Linked DNA regions of Oryctolagus cuniculus. The protein of the gene in region 1 interacts with the protein of each later gene in a pairwise test. Links are inferred from orthologs where the notes say so. Each region holds a gene or a part of one and is shown on either strand. Other genes may lie near its edges.

Region 1 (9,667 bases):
CTGTTTTGACCTTACCGAACAATTTTATTACAAATAAATCAATGATTGTTTTCACATTTAAAACAGTTACTTGGATGCAAGGCTCTGACCTAATTCAGAGATAAGGCCAAGAGCTTAAGCAGACATGTACTGTAATTGCTTCGCTATTCAGTTATCCTTTAAAAACCCTGCATCAGCTCTCAACTTGGTTTGCCCCTGCCTCGGACTCCATCTCCCATTATATAAACCCAAACCACCCTTACTTTATCTTCCTGAACTCATCACAATCACAGAGGATCAAATTCATATGCTTGTCAAAAGCCTTAAAGGTGCCAATGAAGATTCGGCCATCTTGCAGGATACATCTCATTCTATAGTCAATGTGCTGTAGCATCTTGCTACTCTTGCCCACAGTCTAGAATTAAGAAGATAAAGTCAGTGATCAGCTTGCCCTTGTCCATTTTCTAACCTACATCCCTTTTCTAGTCTACCATAAATTTATCTTATCTTTTTCTCCTATATTCCTCCACATTTAATTTATTGGGCCAAATCTGAACTTGGAACCACTAAACTCCTCTAAAAAAGGTTCCCATCATAACTAAAACTTTCCCCAGAGATCCACGAGCCTCGTTTCTTTATAGAGCTGAAATTTTAATCTTACACCTTTACCTGTCTAATCTTAAATCCTATCTTGGAACACAGCACATTATCTTGTTGACAATTTCTTTTACCCTGGACAAATTCCTACTTCAATTAAAACTTGTCAAGTTCCTAAGGTACCATAACATGCAGACATGTTGTATCTCTATTTTTGCAATGTGACACTGGATGACCAAGCATTAAGAAGCTTATGACTGTTAACAAATCCTAGCAATTTTAACCCCTTTGGGAATGGTATCAATCATTTGATAATACATGCTCTAGACTGAGAACCACAGAACTCTGTGGTTAGGATGCTGGCTGGTTTATGCTCACTTGCTCCCTCCCTTTGCCAATTGTTCTCCTGTGTACTAATCAAGCCCTTCAAGTTTTGAAAAAGCTTTCCACATAAAGTAGTCTTTATGTCTACTATAATCTGACCTAAGAGTCAAGATAGTCCCCTAATAACAATGACCAAAAAACTGCTTCTGAATTTTCTCATGTTCTAAAACACCTCAAGATGGTTTTGAAACCAATTTGCAGTAATTAACAAGAAAAGAAACATTGCTAATCCCTGTTTTTTTTCAATGCATTTAGAATACATGTCTACATATTTATTCAAATTTTCAGAACCCAAAGGCACCCACACACAACTGCAAACTACTATTTGATGCCCTTATAACAACTTACCACCCCCCCATCTTAATACATAAACATCTTACCATGATTGCTGTTCCACCAAATTCAATGTCCAAAGTAAAATTTCAGGACCCTTAAGACCTAAGGGAAGGCTATAGATAAAGGTATGATGGCAGGTTCTCCTAGAAACAATGCAAGCTGGGCAGAAGCTTCACAAACAGTAGATGGAGCCTGCAGAGGAAAGCATGTTACAGCTGCACTACAATCTACCATGTTTTAAAATAGGCAGACAATTTTGCACAGATATCACTGCAAAACACATTCAAAAAATCCTTTATCCCATGACTCATTCACTACTCCTTCATCTTTAATTCCCACATTCGACATAGCTAGCACTGATGAAACTCACTAAATTATATTTTACCAGTAACTTTCATTTAAACATCTCAAAATTTTACTATTCTTCCTTTCTACCTTTAAGGTTATTGCTTTACTCCCACACCTAAAATTAATTAAGTATCTCACGTATTTATAACACAAATTATTCCTGAGTTAGTTCAAGATTTTGTTGTGGGGCCAGCACCCTGGCTCACTTGGTTAATCCTCTGCCTGAGGCGCCGCGCCAGCATCCCATATGGGCGCCGGGTTCTAGTCCCGGTTGCTCCTCTTCCAGTCCAGCTCTCTGCTGTGGCCCAGGAAGGCAGTGGAGGATGGCCCAAGTGTTTGGGCCTCTGCACCCCCATGGGAGACCAGGAGGAGGCACCTGTCTGCTGGCTTCAGACCCATACAGCGCCGGTTATGGTGGCCATTTGGGGAGTCAACTAACGGAAGGAAGACCTTGCTCTCTGTTTCTGTCTATAAATCTACCTGTCAAATAAATAAATTAAAAAAAAAGATTTTGTTGTTGATACTTTTTGTTTGAACAACCTAAATATTCAGCTGTAATATTCTTTCCTTCCCAAAGAGCACCTTCAAATGTAGTCTTCCCTCACCTAGAACCAAATGTATTATGAACGTGCTTAAGACTTTCTATGTCAAAGGCTGATACATAACTACTTAACAGAAGCTCATTGACAGCTTTCTTGTTTATCAAAGCGTCATGCATAACAAATTAACATTTTCACCATTACTTTTTGTAAAAAAAAAAAATGCTATCAATATGGCAATCAAATTTAGCCAGCATCTTATTCAGTGGCTGAAACTGCTGATGGTACAAAGAGACACAAATTATATTATTTTTGAGTAGGAATTTGGAGTTAAATATAAAAATAGAATCATATTAAAAGCTAAATTCCACTAGGATTGTTCTTCACTGTTTCCAATAGATAAAATTTTGAAACAGCACATTAAATGTTAGGTATATTCTGAGTACTTCATGGTTTGAAAATAATCATTAAAATCATGACTATAAACTACATGAACACCAAAACAATAAAGTAAAATAAGTTTTGAGCACATATGGAATTTTATGCCAACATATAAAAGAACATAAAAATACGTGATAACTCTTTCCATAAAGTTCTAAGATGTTTAAGGGATGTTTCCTATAGTTCTAGAAGCTTAATTGCAGTAAGACATTCCATGAGATCTTGAGAGTTCTTAGATCTTAAGATCCAAGAAATCCCTAACAATTTTTCAGTATACCCAACAACCTACATTTTCCACATACAAGCTTTCATGCATTCTTTTTAAAGTTTATGGTAAACAATCTGCTTATTCCCTCAATATACTGTCTATACTGCTCTGTAAGACGACTGATAACAGATTATACTATCTATGTACCTACTTATATCTACAGAAATGGCATCAAGAATACTCCAGTGCCCAAGATCCAATGTTTGTACATGAGGTAACACATTATCTAAAATTCATGAGAAAATCACAGGCAACTATTCAAACAAGGAGACTGAACTACTACTTCAATCATGTGTAATCTCTGACCCAAAATAACATAATGAATAAGAGAAGTTTAAGCCTGTGAATAGATGTCCTGAACAATAAAGAATGGGAGAATATACAACTAATTTGAAAATATTCTTCCACAGAGCACGGCCAACTAAATACCACATACTTTCCTTCATTGGAAGTGTTTATTTAAAAACTAAGAGTTGTAAAGAGAAACTAACCACTTTTAAAGTTTGTATTAATTATTTGAGACAGAAAGACACAGAGAGCTCTCATAAATTGGAATCCAGGTCTCCTTTGTGGGTGGCAGGAACCCAATAACTCATGCCATCACCACTCTCTACTAGAGCTGTTTTAGTACTAAGCTGGAGTCAGGAGTCAGAGCTGTGAATCAAATCCAGGTACTCTGATACTGAACACAAATGTCCAAATACCTACCTCTAGTCTAGGAATGTTCACATCAATCAAGACTTCCTGTGATGCATTTAAAAATCATTCCAGGGGAAATCATCTGGCATAGTAGTTAAGATACCATTAGGATAACTGGATACCACATCATAGTACCTACATTGGTGTCCTGGCTTCACTCCATATTCCAGCATTCTGCAAACACTGTATCTTGTGGAGGCTCAAGTATTTGGGTACCTGCAACCTACATGGGAGACCCAGATTGAATTCCTGACTGCTGGTTTTGGCCTGTCCCACCCTGCCTGTTTCAGTTATTTAGGAAGTGAATCAGTGGATGAGATCTCTGTCCATTCGTTCATCTTTGTATTTCAAACCATAAATATTTTTAAAAAGAAAAAGATTCACTCTAATATTATACCCACACTTGGATACTTATCCTTTTGTACCAAGAAACAAAACTAGAGGTTCAATATCCCTTTTCCAAGATGCTTGGAATCAGACATATCTTGCATTTCAGATTATTTTATACGTGATTATTGGCATCTGCAAAATAATGTTTCATATACAACTTACCCACATAGCATACAGTCATTTTATATGGTACTTTCGTGCATGAAAAGAGTCATGGTGTTTGGAATTTTCCACCAGGGGTGTCAGTGCTCAAAAAATTTTGTATTATTTTCAGTTACAAGTTTGAGAATTAAGGATGCTCAATCTGTAATATTCATAAATTTACTTTCCAATTTTCCTGGCTATCACATTGTTCAGATGTTTATAATTAAAATAGGAAGGTATCAATTATTAAAGTACCCTTCAAGTGAAATCCATATGATTTCCAGACCCTTCTCTTACTGCAGAAATACCTAGTATTCTACATACTTCATATACAATCTTTCAATAATCCCTTTCTTCAGCACTTTGCTATACCCCTTGGCACCACCGTGGTGTTTTCAATTAATCTGTGTCTCTAAAATAATGATCAGTAGATGTTTTTATATAAAAGAACAAGATATTAAATATTTCATGCTATCCCTATCATCTGATCTGTCAAAAAATTGACACTGTAGTGTCATGTAGCCATGAGCCTTACATAGACATAGCTATAGATCAATAAAAATCTACAAAAATATGTAGTGGGACAGATACTAACTCCTACTCTAATGAAAGCCTAATAGCTATCACTGTTTAGGTGAAACTAGCAGTTGGACACAGAATAACATAGGATATGATTAAATATGAGAAAATGAAATGGTTCTACTGGCAGATGCTAATACGTAATTTAAATAACATACTTAGAAGTTTTCAAGAGTATTCTAACTCAACTGAGAAGCCAAAAAATGTCTAGACACAAAGAAAATCAACTGTGTGTGTGCCTACTCATTGAAAAATGCCCTGAGGGGCAATTTTCAGATTCCCTAGCTTATTTGCAACAAAGTTCATCTTGGAATGTTGGATATTGAGGATTCAACAGGGAGGAGTTCTCAGAAAATATGTCTTCTCAGATTTAAATTCAATATAGTAGCCATAAACAGTCCTAATTAATTCAAGTTGAGGGGCAACATTTCAAAAACAGAAATAAAAATCTAGTAGAGAATTCACCCATATACCCTTTCTGATTCTATTTTCTAAACAGTATATAGCAAATTCTCTGAAATAAGGGCATTCTATTTTTAAAACAGAAAAAAATGAAGTAAAAACAAGGTACTGAATCAATGTGAATAACTTTCTAGAAAATATAAATCAACATAAACAGTAAATAAATCTACATCACATTAAAAATTTATGGATAATCTTTATTGCATTGTCTGCTGATTCCAGTAAGAAATACATTGGTGAAAACAGAAAAGTGAGAAAAAAGACAAAACAATGAAAGAAGTAGTTAGTGAATAACCAAGGAAATATTTAGATTCTCTAATAATCTTGATAATGATGGTATATTCAATAAGTATAAATGATATTATAATTATAATAAGACTGGTAAGTGTATTTTAAATAGCACACTATTTTATGGCAATGAAAACTAATGTTACTTTACAAACTCTTGCAAAATAATTAAATCACTCACAAAGGAGAATTATAAAGCATTAACTAACAGTTTTTTTTTTTTATATATAAGGTAAAGTTGAAAATCAAATAGAACATAAATAAAACTATCCAAAAAGCACACACCACAAAGATTGGGACACAAAAACATTGTCATGGCAGGAACATTAAGGATTTTCTTTTACTCTTTTAAAATCTTTATGTAATTTGCTTTTTTATAAGAAGTATTTATTTTTAAAAAAAAAAGTCTTTTCAAGTGCCCAGATTACTAAATGAACACCAAACACCCTTTTTTTCAATGATTTATTTTCTCATCATTACTACATCAGCTCTAACCTGGTTTTTGCTTAGAAGTCAGCTACCTTGATATTCCAATACTGCTTTAACCACCTCTTGGTGTCTCGGCTAAGAATGCCTGTCTTAGTTCCGCCTGGAAATCCACCACAGGTACTTGCTGCTGTTGAGAACGTCTTGGGTACAACTGACACCTATGATAAGAGCATAGTATACATAAATGACAAAAATATTTATTAATATTAATCATATCAAAGAATACACAGACTCTTCTATTTATGACAATCTGCTTTAATGCTCAGAGAATGCCATTACTTTGTTAGGAAACTATAAAATAAAACAAAAGTCTCTGAACACAAGGATGTGCGAGGAAACAGTGAATACTTACCCAGTCTAGGAATATTTCCAAAGACCCAAAAGACCAAGAGTTGTTAGTTCTGCAGAAAAAGTATCAGCATCATGGCCACTCAATTTACAATCATCCTATGTGGAAACCATCTTTTCTCCCATAGGCTGGGTGAAGAATTTGGTAATGCATTTTCAAGGCAATCATCCATACTGATACTCCTAAAATATCACCACCCGAAAAAAAGCACCTCAAGGGTACAGCTTGTTGAAGAGCTCCAAAACTAGGTAAATCATACATCTATGAATAAGCAGGGCATTTTAAAGAAAAGACCTCAACATACCCCTGTGGATCAGTAACCTGATCCTGAACAGAAGAGATGTAGAAATTTAGTTTGTTATGCAACAAGACATGCCTAGGACACAGGAGGAGAAATCACCAACAATTATGCCCTTGTTGATAAAGGAAAAAAAGAGATAAGAGGAGGCTTCAAAAGTTTCATGGAATATTCACCCTAAGATTTGTTTGTTTATTTGAAAGGCAGAGCAACCAAGAGATGGAGAAAGGTGGAAAGAGATACAGATCGATCCCCGAAATGGCACCAACAGCCAGGTCTGGGCCAGGTTGAAGACAGGAGCCAGGAACACTATCCTAGTCTCACACATGGGTGGCAGAGAACCAAACTGTTGGGTCATCTTCTGCTACCTTCCCAGGCATATTAGCAGGAAGCTGGCTAGGAAAAAAAAAAAAAAAAAAGAGAAGCCAAGACTCAAACCAGCACTCTGATACAGAATGCTGCATGTGTCTAAGCAGCTGCTTAATCTGCTGAGCCAAAAGTCTGCTCCCCACAACAACTTTTAATTCCATTTTTCAACAAACTTTCTGAAGCTTCATCAGTAAACAAAAATATTCATTAGCAGTTGGATTTGGAAATGTGGACAGTGGTAAAAGATTTTCTACTTCATAGTTTTTCAACATTTTCATCACACTGTTGGATGAAGAGTTTAGCAGGCCATGGTCCCTAGTTCAGGGGAGGTAACTTCTAAATTCTAGAAATTTACCCCAAAGGGGGATTATCTTTTTATTCCAAGTGAATTCTTCAGATCACATCTGAGTTTATGCTACTCCGATGACTCAGGATGGTGCCCAGCCCTACCACAAAACACCAAGGTAAGAGGGTAGTGGTTATAATTCTGATATCTTAGTTGGGGGATGGTCAGTGGAAACTGAGCTCAATCACATTACCAAGGATTCAATCAATGTTGACTATAAAATGAAAATACAATGAAATCATTAATATATAAAAGTTCTGCTGGGCTTCCTCGTTGGTGCATCTTGGGAACAGGGAAGCTTTGAATTTGGGACCCTCCTAGGTCTTAACCCATGAGTATGTTCTTTTCAATCATTTTATAATAAAAATTTTACTTCTGTGAGTCATTTTAACAACTTAGAAAATCTGAAGGGGCAGCAGAATCTATTGCCAGTTGTCAAAAGTAGGGGTAGTCTGGGAACTGCAGAGCTTGTAGCTGATGTCTGAATTCAAAGGAGTCTAACAGAGAGATGATACAATCTACCTATGAAGTCTGCATTAAGTCTTGGTTAGTAATTAAGCCTTAGTATCTTAATTACATTCTACACACTGTTGGAATTTCCTATTCCAATCACTGAATAATGGAATCTTAATTTGGCCATTCTCTATTCTGATTTCTGTTACCAAATGGCAACCAAGTCTCTTATCTAATGAAGTCCTATAAAGTGTTTCAGAAAGAAAAAAAAATTCAGCTTCTTAAAACCTATGGGGCCAGAGCCGTGGCTCACTTGGCTGATCCTCTGTCTGCAGCGCCAGCATCCCATATGGGTGCTGGGTTCTAGTCCCAGTTGCTCCTCTTCCAGTCCAGCTCTCTGCTATGGCCCAGGAGGGCAGTGGAGGATGGCCCAGGCGCTTGGGCCCCTGCACCCACATGGGAGACCAGGAAGAAGCTCCTGTATCCTGGCTTCAGATTAGCGTAGCGCCGGCCACAGTGGCCATTTGGGGGGAACCAATGGAAGAAAGACCTTTCTTTCTGTCTCTCACTGTCTAACTCTGTCAAATAAATTAAAAAAAAAAAAAAAAAACTAAAGAGAATTTCCTATTGCATTAACCCTTTGAGTTTAATTGTAACTCAACAAAAGACTAAACATAAGAAAGTAATGTTATTCAATACCAAAGAACAGGAACAGATTTGGTGGTATATCTACTAAGGACAGAATAATCATCGATATTCTAAATGAGAAGAAGGGGGAAAATGAACTTTTATTATGTCCATGTTAATCTGTGGAATATTCTGTTTACATGTTATATTGGCTTTTACTTGTTTTTGGATTTTTTGGAAGGACTACTAATGATAACCTTTTATTGGTCTCTAGGGCAGATACTTTCACAATGCCTCCAGGAAGACTGATAAGCAATACTTATAGTTTGGAAAAAGATGGCAGATTAATAGAGATAAATACTAATGAACATTCATCATATATGTAAAATATTACTATTAAGTGTACCAATCCTAAGCATATGAAACATAAGGCAGACAGTATCTACTGAAACCTTACACATTCCTGCAACCCCTTACACTCAAAAAGAGACAAAGGAGAAAATTAGAGTTTCCCTCCCACCTCATATCCTTCCAATTCAAGAACCTATAATATACAGAAGGTCAGGAAAATTCAAGTTATTTCTTCTTTAAAAGCATCCAAATATTTCCATATATTTGTACAAATAAAACACCAAATGAAGCTTACCTCATCCCAAAACAAGATTAAATATGAGATGATTAGTTGTATTCAATGTCACCGAGGCCATATAGGATAAACTCTTAACAAAACATAAAATACTAACTACATCCCCTCAAGAGACTCTAACCACCATCTTTATCTCCTGTACAATCTCTCTCAATTATCCCTTGGAAACTGTAGGGTATTCCCAGAAGTGCACTGACACTTTTTAAAACTTTGCAATTACTAAAGGGGAAATCAAGATATTATAACAAAATGTAAAATCAAATTATCTATTTTAAAGGACAAACTATCTTTCATAATATACTAATATTTATAAATATTTATAAATAAAATGTAAATATTCCTTTCAAAGTAATTTTCCAAAAGTGTAATTTAAACAATACTTGGAAGAGAAAAATAAAATTGAGGGCAAACAAATAGTCCTTATTCTCCCTAGGTATTTAAAATATGCAAGTCTTTTACAATTTTTGTATATAAAATAAGCACATGAAAATAACACACACAAATTTAATATCTACCTTCTATAATTAAAGTTAGATGAGGAAATTAGTATTAATACACTGATTTTCAGAGCAACCTGCTATCTTGTTAATAGTTAAGAAATACAAACGAAATAATGCATAGTTAGATTAATGATTA
Region 2 (9,663 bases), on another chromosome or scaffold:
CAGAGAGATCCCATCCAATTTCCGACTGCATTTAGGACAAAGTTGTCACCCCTTTCCAAAGTCTGCAGATCCTGCCCAAGCCTCCCAGCAGCACTCTGACCCTCCCGCCTTCCTGTTACCCAGTGACCCCACCAGGCTGCTTTCTACCCTAGGGCCTTGGCACAGGTGGCTCCCTTCATCTGGCCCTCTCTTCCCCTTCTTGTCATCCGGGTCCCAGCTCAGAAACCTGTCCCCTGAGAGCTCGGTCAGTGATGAGGTCTTTGAGGGCTGTGGGAGCCTCTTTCACATCCTGTTTGCTTCCTTGTTTAGCAAAAGTAACCAGCAACAAAAGGCTACTCTGTCCCCCCACCAAACTGTAAGCTTCCTGTGGGCAGGTGTTTGCGTTTCAATGTGTCCCTTCCAAAATTCCTGTTGAAACTGAATCCCCATTGTAGCCTTAGTATCAGCCAGGGGCCTTCTGGGAACTGCTTAAACAAGAATTCTGCCCTCAAGGATGGATTACTTTATAAAAGGGCCAGAAAAGAACAAGCTTCAGCAACCCCCACTCCCCCCCGCCCCCGCCTTCTACTCTCCCATCCTACCAGAACAAAATGTTCTTTCTTCTGTCCCTTCTACCACGTGAGGACGCCTAGGGGACACCATCTTTGAAGGGCCATTACCAGATATCACACTGGCCACAGCCTTGATCTTGGGACTTTCCAGTCTCCCAAACCGAGAAAGTCAGTTTCTGTAGTTTAAAGATCACCCGGTCACAGACTAAAACAACAGGGAATTTGCTAATCCCAGGCCCTGGGGTCTGAGGCTTCGTAGTAAATATGGAAAGAAATGCAAGAGGGTGCCCATGCTGTGGCGCAGAGAGTTAAAGGCCTGGCCTGCAGTGCCAGCATCCCATATGGGCGCCAGTTCGAGTCCCGGCTGCTCCACTTCCAATCCAGCTCCCTGCTAATGCACCTGGGAGAACAGTGAAGGAGGGCCCAGGTCCTTGGCTCCTGCTCCCATGCGGGTGACCCAGAAGAAACTCCTGGCTCTTGACTTTGGCCTGGCATAGCCCCGAATGTTGCAGGCATTTGGGAAGTGAAATAGCAGATTCATCTCTCTCTCTGTAACTCTACCTTTCAAATAAAATACATCTTAAAAAAAAAAAAAAAAAAAGAGGTGTAAAAACAAAAAAGGAAATGAAGCAGTCACGGTGCATTAGGCTCTGGGGACACACAGGGGACCCAAGGACCCCAGCCCTGACCTCCAGGGTCTCCTATTCTAAACCAGTTCCCTGGAGTGGGCTGGGGGTGGGGCAAGAGTTCTCTGCGGGGTGAAGAATCCCTCCACTGTGCCTATCAACTGCCTTTTTGTTTTTTTTCCCTGCACAGGCTGGTAACTCCCCAGGCTCTGCTCTTACATAACCCTTGGTCTGCAGTGTTGTCTCCCATCACAGGCCGCCCGGAAGTTCCGGGCCTCTCCCTCCCGGGGAAGGGGGGGCCCGCAACGTGGAGTCCTCCAGGGGGCATCTGATTGCCCCACTAGATGGAAGGAAGACTTCCTTGGCGGTGGGCGGGGACATTCGCCTCCACTTGGCCCTCAGCCCATAGCAGGCATGCAGACACGCTTGGTGAATGGAAGAGGCTTTCTCCAGAAACACTTTATCTCTTAACATGCCCACGCCAGTCTGTCACTACAGTGCACTCCCCTGGCCCCTCCGTCCTCCCCCACCCGCCCCAGTTTCCAGACTATTCCTCCACCCCAGGCTCTCTCTCTCCAGCCTGGAGCCTGAGTTCTGGCACTGACTGGCTGGGCCACCTCCTGCCAGGCTATGACCCTGCCTGTGGCCTCTGGCTTCCCCTACCCCCAGCTGGAAAATGTGGTACAGGAGAACTGCTCTCTGAGGACACTCAACTCCTCTCCTGTTCTTGTCCTCAGCCCTAGAATCCCTTGATCTGAGGCCAGCGCTGTGGCGTAGCGGGTAAACCCGCTTCCTGCAGTGCCAACATCGCATATGGTCGCCAGTTCGAGTCCCGGCTGCTCCTCTTCCAGTCCAGCTCTCTGCTGTGGCCTGGGAAAGCAGTGGAAGATGGTCCAAGTCCTTGGGCCCCTGCACCCACGTGGGAGACCCAGAAGAAGCTCCTGGCTCCTGGCTTGGTTTCAGCACAGCTCCAGCCGTTGCTGCCATTTGGGGAGTGAACTAGCAGATGGAAGACCTCTCTCTCTGCCTCTGCCTCTCTGTAACTCTGCCTTTTGAATAAAATAAATCTTAAAAAACAAAACATGAATCCGTTGATCCTAGGGTTCCCACAGGGCTAAACACCCCCCACGTGGCCATCCTCAGTCTTGGCACAGGCTGATCCGCCCACAGGGACCCGGATGCTTCTGCAGAGGGTGATAAGGGTAGGCGAGGCCTCTCGGCATTTGTCCTGATAACAGCTTAAGCTTTAGAGACAGCGCCAGATGTTGACATTCGTCCGGAGGCAAGCGTCTGCCTGGGAGGCCCCCGGCCTGGCTTCGGTCAGTGGCTGTTGCCCAACAGCCAAGGAAGGAAGGCAGTCCACTGACTGTGGATACGGGTCTGCAAAACAGCAACCGGCACCAGTGACCAGCTTCACTGGGCTGTTACGAGGACTGCGAGGGCACTGCAGGTAAACATTTGAACACAACGCCTGCTTCCTGGACTGCTCCCTCCCAACATAAGCCCTGACTCCTCGGGGGCTCAGGAGCCGCACCACTCTTGCCCAAGACCAGAAAGAACTGGAAGGGTAGGACTCTAAATCCCCAGGTGACATCAGGCCCAATGTCACGCTGCCGCCACCAAAGAGATCACTCCTGGCAGTCGCGGTCCCCCCTATTGCTCCACCTCTCTCCCACGAGTGCGCCCCTCGGAACCTGCCGGGGCACTGTCCCTTTCTCATCAACTCTGAGCTGCAGGAAGCCGACTTCCAACCTCCCCTACTTCTTGGACAAGCAAACTGAGGCCCAGGGCACTGAGCGGTATTCTCAGGCTCCAGCCCAGAGGGGCTCAGGTTACCTTGGGGCAGAAGGAACCAGAGAATGGTAACCGTAGCAAGCAAACAAGACTAGCTACGTCCTGCAAGCTAAGGGAAGGGCCCACCCAGGTCCCTGCCCACCCAGGTTCAGTTCCCCCAAGAGAGCGGACTCTCCCAAGGCGGCTACAGGAGGACTTTTGCGTAGTTGGCACCCTCTCCACCCGGGGCCCTCCCACGTGACCGCCAGCACAGCTGACTGGGGTCCCTGCCCTGTTAGTATCAGGAAACCCCAGCTGACCAGAGGCTGGGGGAAGGGAGAAGAGCCCGAGGCAAGGGTGTCCACCTGGCCATGATTTCGCTACAGCTCCACAGCCTGGGCAGAGACGGCCAGGGACGCGCGCGGATGGACCCTGCTCCGCGCTAGGGCGGGGTCCCCCTCATTCCCCGGGGCTGAGGGCTGGGCCCTCAGAGAGAGGCACTGACCCGGCTCGAGCGGCGGCCCCGCTGCCTCCGCCTCCGTCCTCATGACCCGCGCAGCACGGGGCGCCCATGGCCCCGGCCCGCTGCGGGCTGCAGCTTCGGCTTCAGCTGGCGCAGGAGCGCAGCCAATGCGTGTCGAACGCCGTAGCCGCCGCCGCCACCGCCACAGCGGGGAGAAGCGGAGGCGGCGGCCGGGCAGCCCCAAGCCCCGCCCCAGCCACTCCAGGTCTTGGATCCGGAGGCCCCGCCCCTCCCCTAATCCCCGCCCCTTCCCAGTCCCAGACTTCGATTCCTAGAGGCTTCCAGCCTCATGATTTAAGCCCGGCCTGGCCATTCACAGTCTCGGTTTCTGGTAGCTCCGCCCCCTTACCGAATCCTCGCGCAGACGCGCGGGCCCTTCCTTCGCTCGGTCCCCCGGAAGCTCCGCCCCTTCTGAGCCCCTCCCCGAGGGCTCGGCGCAGCGCAAACACTGGCTCCCCAGGGGCTCTTTCCCTCAGCAAGCCCCGCCTCTGCCAGGCCCCACCCCTTTGCCGGCTTCAGCTGTAAGCCGGCTCCGGCCCTGTGATTGCCTAGGGTCCAGGCAACCGTACTCTGATCTCTTTAGTGCTGAGCCGGCCCCTGCTCCACTTGGTACCTCAGTTTCTCTGTCCAGACACGACACCTCCCCTCTCTGAGAGTTCCCGTTACCTGGCAGTGCCGGGTTCCAAAGATTAAATTGTGAGGGGAGGTCCCAGCCCTCATTCCCACTTCCTGCTGCCCCGGATCCGAGGACCCAGGCTGTAGATCCCCTCCTTGTCGTCCAGCCAGTCTTTTGTGAGGGGTGCTTGGAAGCGCAAGCCCCCCTCTCCCGTTTCGGGCCCCCGCGTCGGGGCTTCCGGCGGCCCCCGGGCCCTGTCATCAGCCCTCTCTTCCGGCGCCGGAACTATCGTACCTGGGTCCGCGTTTCCCAGCCGGCGGAGTAAGGAGGAAGCGGAGACGAGCTCGCGCTCTGGGACGGTCCCCGCGCGCGGCATTCTGGGAGCGCGTGGTATTCTGGGAGTGCAAGGCCCGCCATTCGCCCCGCTCACGCCTTCTCTCTCGCAGTTGTTGTCGCAGCACCGAAGAGGAGGAAGAAGGGGCTCGAGCCGGTGAGTAGGGGCCGGGGACGGGAAAGGGGAGGCCTAGGCGCTCGTGAGGGATCGGGGGCTGGGGCAGGACGCGCTGCAAGGAACCGCGCAGGGCTCCGGGAGGGAAGGAAGCGGGAAGCCGGGACACCCAGACACCCGCGTCGCCTCGCCTGAGCCTGGGGAGTGAGTTCGTTACCTCCCCCTCGTTTCTGGCTGCTTAGCCTCGTCCCTGAACTCCATCGGCGTCATCCTTGGCCTCCAGCCCCCTTTTCCGGCGCTGATGCAGCCCCTCGTGCTTTCCACGCCATTGCAAAAGCGTTTTCCGAAGTTCCTCTGCTTCTGAACTGTGTGTTCGATTTGGCCTGTAAACGCTGATACCTTTCCATTGGGTCGTTCCTTCCTTGAGATCCCGCGCTGGTTCCGTGCTCTCTGAAACGTAACATTCCAGCTCTGGCGGCGGAGGGCTGGGGATCCTCACGGAGCGAGCCTGGCTGCCCTGTCGTGTTCTCCCTTATTTCGTGCCAGCCTTGCGTCCTTACCTGGCTCAATAAAAACTCCACTGCTTGTCTCTCAACTACGTCGGCAGATCCTTGTGTTTTTCCTCCAAGATAAGCAGTTTCCTACACGTTGTCCCTTTGTGACCGCTTTGCTGTTTTCTCTTTAGCTTTAACAGTAAAGCGAATGGAAAGTCAGAGGCTGAAATAAAAACACAGCCTCCTCTCCTGGATATGTCTGGGTCCTCTGGTTGGTTGGTTTGTTTGTAAGATTCATTTATCTGAAAGGCAGAGTTACACAGTCGGGGTCGGGGGCAGGCAGAGAGAGAGATCTTCCATCCCCTGGTTCACTCCCTCAAATGACTGCAACGGCTGGAGCTGGGGGCCAGGCCAGAGTCAGGATCTTCTCCCCGGTCTCCCACAGGTTCAGGGGCCCAAGCATTTGGCCCATCCTCTCCTGCTTTCCCAGGCTATCAGCAGAGATCTGGAGTGGCAGTAGACAGCCGGGACTTGAACCAGTGCCCCTGTGGGATGCCGGTGTACCCGCTGCACCCCATCGTGGTTTTCAGGATGCAGTCACCCACAGCTGTGGATAGGCAGATGTGTTGCTCAGCATGGACGTTCCGAGCGCCTCTCTCCCAACACACAGACCACATTGGTCACTGGTTATCTTGGCCAAGGAAAAGGGACATGAGGGGCCAGTGTTGTGGGGCAGCTGGTTAAGCTGCCACCTGTGACGCTGGCACCCACGTGAGAGTGCCAGGCTGATTCTCAGCTGCTCCATTTCCTATCCAACTCCCTGCCAGTGCTCCTGGGAGGCAGCAGATAATGGCCTGAGGTTTGAGCCCCTTGCCACCCACATAGGGAGACCCAGATGCAGTTCCAGGCTTTGCAGCCATTTGGGGAGTGGCCCAGCGGATGGAAGATCTCTCTCTCTCTCTCTCTGTATCTGTATCTGTGTCCCTTACTCTGTCTCTAGGTAAAGGGACATGGGAGCAGGTGAGGAGTAGGGAGGTAGGTGGGAGATTCTTTTCCTTTCCGTGAGCTTTCCTTCTGTCCAGCACGCTGTCTCTCCCCTCTTCATATTGTGTGTATTTGCCAGGAAGGCTCCTCCAAGCCAGGAGCTGAGCTGCTCTTGTGTAGAAAATGCAGCTTTGGCACCGGTGTTAGGTTTTATGGGGTCCAGGCCTTGGGGAGACATGGTGCGCACCACACGCGGCCTCTGGCTCTGAAGGCTGGGCTCACTGCTGTGTCTCCCACCACAGCACTCTCCTCCTGCCGAGATGTCCATCGGTGTGCCGATCAAAGTCCTGCACGAGGCCGAGGGCCACATCGTGACCTGCGAGACCAACACCGGCGAGGTGTATCGGGGCAAGCTCATCGAGGCAGAAGACAACATGAACTGCCAGGTACGGGAGGCTGGCGGCGTCTCCATTGTGCCCGACGTGTGGCAGGCGCTGCCGCGGGCTCCGGGACTGTGGGCCTGAGCAAGAGACAGTACTGGGGCAAAGAACCGTATGGAGATTTGGAATAGTTAACTTTGGCCTTTGCCTTCTCCATCCCATAATTGTCCCCTCCCAACTCCCCATTTTAAAGATTTATTATTTATTTGAAAGGCAGAGAAAGAGAGGGAGAGATCTTCCATCTACTGGTTCACTCCCCCAAATGGCCACAGTGGTTGGATCTGGGCTGATCTGAAACTGGGAGCCGGGAGCTTCTCCCAGGACTCCCACGTACAGGGACCCAAGCACTTGGGCCATCTTCTACTGCTTTCCCAGGTGCATTAGCAGGCTCAGAAGTGAAGTAGCTGGGACTTGAACCGGTGCCCGTATGGGATTCCAGTGTTGCAGGCAGTGGCTTCCCCTGCTACACCACAGTGCCAGCCTCTCCCATGTTTTGGGGCCTGTTTGAGAGAAATGGTGTTACCACCTTCAGCAGAATTCTTCAGGTTCAGGGCCATTACCCTCCCACCCCCACCACCCCACACAGTGAGCAGAAACCTGTGTGCTCTTTTTCTTAGAAGAGGGGTCATGTTTGATTACTGCAGCTGCCTAGTGAGGTAAATGAGTTTGGTGATAGTCTCGGCATCCAGGAAAGAGGGAGAATGTGGTTAAAGGACTCATCTACTGAATATTGCTCTGCTAATAAATGATAGAGCAACTTTCTAACGTGGTGTCTTTCTCAAAGCACTGCTTTTTACATAGTCAGGTAAATTTAAAACAAAAAGATTTATTTGAAAGGCAGAGTTACAGCGAAAGAGTGGGAGAGATAGCTTCCATCTGCTGGTTCACTTCCCAAATGGCCGCAATGGCCGGAGCTGAGCCAAGCCAAAGCCAAGAGCTTCTTCTGGGTCTCCCACATGGATGCAGGGGCCTGAGCACTTGGGCCATCTTCTACTGCTTTCCCAGGCCATAGCAGAGAGCTGGATCAGAAGTGGAGCAGCCGGGACTCAAACCGGCGCCCACATGGGATGCTGGCACTGCAGGTGGCGGCTTTACCTGCTATGCTGCAGCACCATCAAGTATTTTTTATAGCATTATTTTCCAGAGTGTCAGCACATGTTCTTTTTTTGTTTAAAATTTTATTTATTTATTTGAATGGCAGAGGGAGAGAGATCTTGCATCTGTTGGTTTATTCCCCATATATTCAAAGTAGCTGGAGCTGAGCCAGGCCAAGGCAGGAGCCTAGAACTCTACCCAGTTCTCCCACGTGGGTGGCAGAGGCCCAAGCACTTCCAAGGTCTCCCACTACCTTCAGAGGCGTGTTAGCAGGGAACGGATCAGAAGCATGACAACCACAACTTGAACCAGCCTTCTTTTTTTTTTTTTTTTTTTTTTTTAATTTGACAGGTAGAGTTATAGACAGTGAGAGAGAGAGACAGAAAGGTCTTCTATTGGTTCACCCCCTAAATGGCCGCTACGGCCAGCACTGCACGGATCCAAAGCCAGAAGCCAGGTGCTTCCTCCTGGTCTCCCATGCTGGGTGCAGGTGCCCAAGCACTTGGGCCATCCTCCACTGCCCTCTGGGCCATGGCAGAGAGCTGGACTGGATGAGGAGCAATTGGGACTAGAACTCGGCGCCCATATGGGATGCCAGCACTGCAGGTGGAGGATTAACCAAGTGAGCCACGGCACTGGCCCCTGAACCAGCCTTCTGATACGAGATGCTGACATCGCAATCCGCTGCTTAACCCACTGCACCACAATGCCCTTTATTCTTTAAACCGTTGGTTAGGAGCCCAAGCTCTGGGAGCAGGAATTTTGCCTGATGGTTAAGATGCCAGTTGGGATTTCAGTATCTCGTGTCTAAACACCTGTATTTGAGCGCCGCTTCCACTCCTGGTTCCTTCTAACTGTGCACCCTGGTGGGCAAGAAACTGAGTCCATAGCACCCACCTGAGAGACCTGGATTGAGTTCTTGGTTCCAGGTTTTGCCCTGGGCCAACCTTTTGCGGGCATTTTTGGAGAGTGAACCAGTGGATGGGAGCTCTCTCTCTTTCTCAAGTAAATATGTTTTGTTTTGTTTTGTTTTTTAAGGAACTTGGGTTTTGGAATCAGAAATTGGAGAGACATGACTCTGAACCCTGGCTATATGACCTCAGGTTTAGTAGCCACATACCTTCCTCATCAGTGAAATGGGGGTGCTGCTATTTTGGGTGCCCTGAGACATAGCTGCTAGGACAACTGGATGTGTGAGATAGTGGAAAATGACAGGGAGAATGAGAAGAGGGAGCAGAACTGTCAGACCCGGAAGCTGGTTTGCCCGCGTAAAGGAAGGAGGATTGAGCGGGGAGAGCCTCAGACCCAGCACGGCCCTGAGGAAGCCTCAGCAAGGCAGAGGCTGCTCCTCAGGGGGGTCTGGCCTGGGGCAGGAATGGCCTGGGCTCTCGTGCCTGTGCTGTGGGCCAGCATTGGCTGGCTCCCCAGGGAGGTGGGGCCCTCAGCGTGCTGTGGTGGATTCCAGAGGCGTCAGCTTGCTCTCTGTTGAGAGGTCTGAGCACGCCCAACACCACCTCAGGAATAGCACCCACACCCCAGGGCAGTGTCAGAGTTCAGCTGAGTCCTGTCTGCAGTAAGCTAGCTCGGGGCCCCCCATGTTGTGAGTGTCCAAGGTACCATGCTCCAGGGAGTTGAAGTGCATTACCCAAGGTCAGATGTCTTGACTGGCCATTGCTGTGCAGGGTTTGCTTGTGATTTCTCTTTAGCTTTGTGCAGCTCCCATCTTTCTGTCAGGTTGACCAGCTCACAGTTTCCTGGTGCAGAGGGAGGCAGAGATCTGGTGACTTAGGTTTATCTCCTCACCGTTGGTGCCGTAGACGTGGGTGGGTGGGCTCTGACAGGCACAGCTGGCGTTGCTCTAAAGAGCCTGGCCTATGGCACGCTCTGCCCGTGTGAGGTGCTGCTGTCGTCGATCCAGTCCTTTGACTTAGGCATCCTCGTCAGCTTTAAGCTACTTGAATTTAGTGAGTAGAATGCAGGGGTTAATGGTAGTGAGTAATTCTTTTATTTTATTTATTTTCTTTTTTTTTTTTTTTTAAGATTTATTTATTTGAAGGAGGCAGTGACAGCATTTCCACCCACTGGTTCACTCTCCAAATGGCTGTATCGGCCG

The links. The genes of interacting proteins can lie anywhere in the genome.
Region 2: the proteins of SNRPN (region 1) and SNRPD3 interact in a two-hybrid assay, tested with the Homo sapiens proteins (2 studies listed by BioGRID, with this or other methods). The link is inferred for Oryctolagus cuniculus from reciprocal best matches to the Homo sapiens genes SNRPN and SNRPD3.

What each region holds. Positions count from the first base shown.
Region 1 is NC_091443.1:13,808,523-13,818,189, reverse strand, and holds the start of SNRPN (small nuclear ribonucleoprotein-associated protein N), read right to left. Parts: upstream 5,996-9,667; 5' UTR 5,976-5,995; exon of another isoform or gene 5,950-5,975; intron 5,379-5,949; exon of another isoform or gene 5,343-5,378; intron 3,803-5,342; exon of another isoform or gene 3,731-3,802; intron 1,489-3,730; 5' UTR 1,344-1,488; coding exon 1,341-1,343; intron 395-1,340; coding exon 243-394; intron 1-242. Other genes in the region: SNURF (SNRPN upstream reading frame protein), read right to left, coding at 5,996-6,101.
Region 2 is NC_091452.1:31,109,957-31,119,619, reverse strand, and holds the start of SNRPD3 (small nuclear ribonucleoprotein Sm D3), read left to right. Parts: upstream 1-4,465; 5' UTR 4,466-4,579; intron 4,580-6,317; 5' UTR 6,318-6,335; coding exon 6,336-6,461; intron 6,462-9,663. Other genes in the region: protein GUCD1, read right to left, coding at 4,140-4,350. UniProt on the Homo sapiens protein: Plays a role in pre-mRNA splicing as a core component of the spliceosomal U1, U2, U4 and U5 small nuclear ribonucleoproteins (snRNPs), the building blocks of the spliceosome.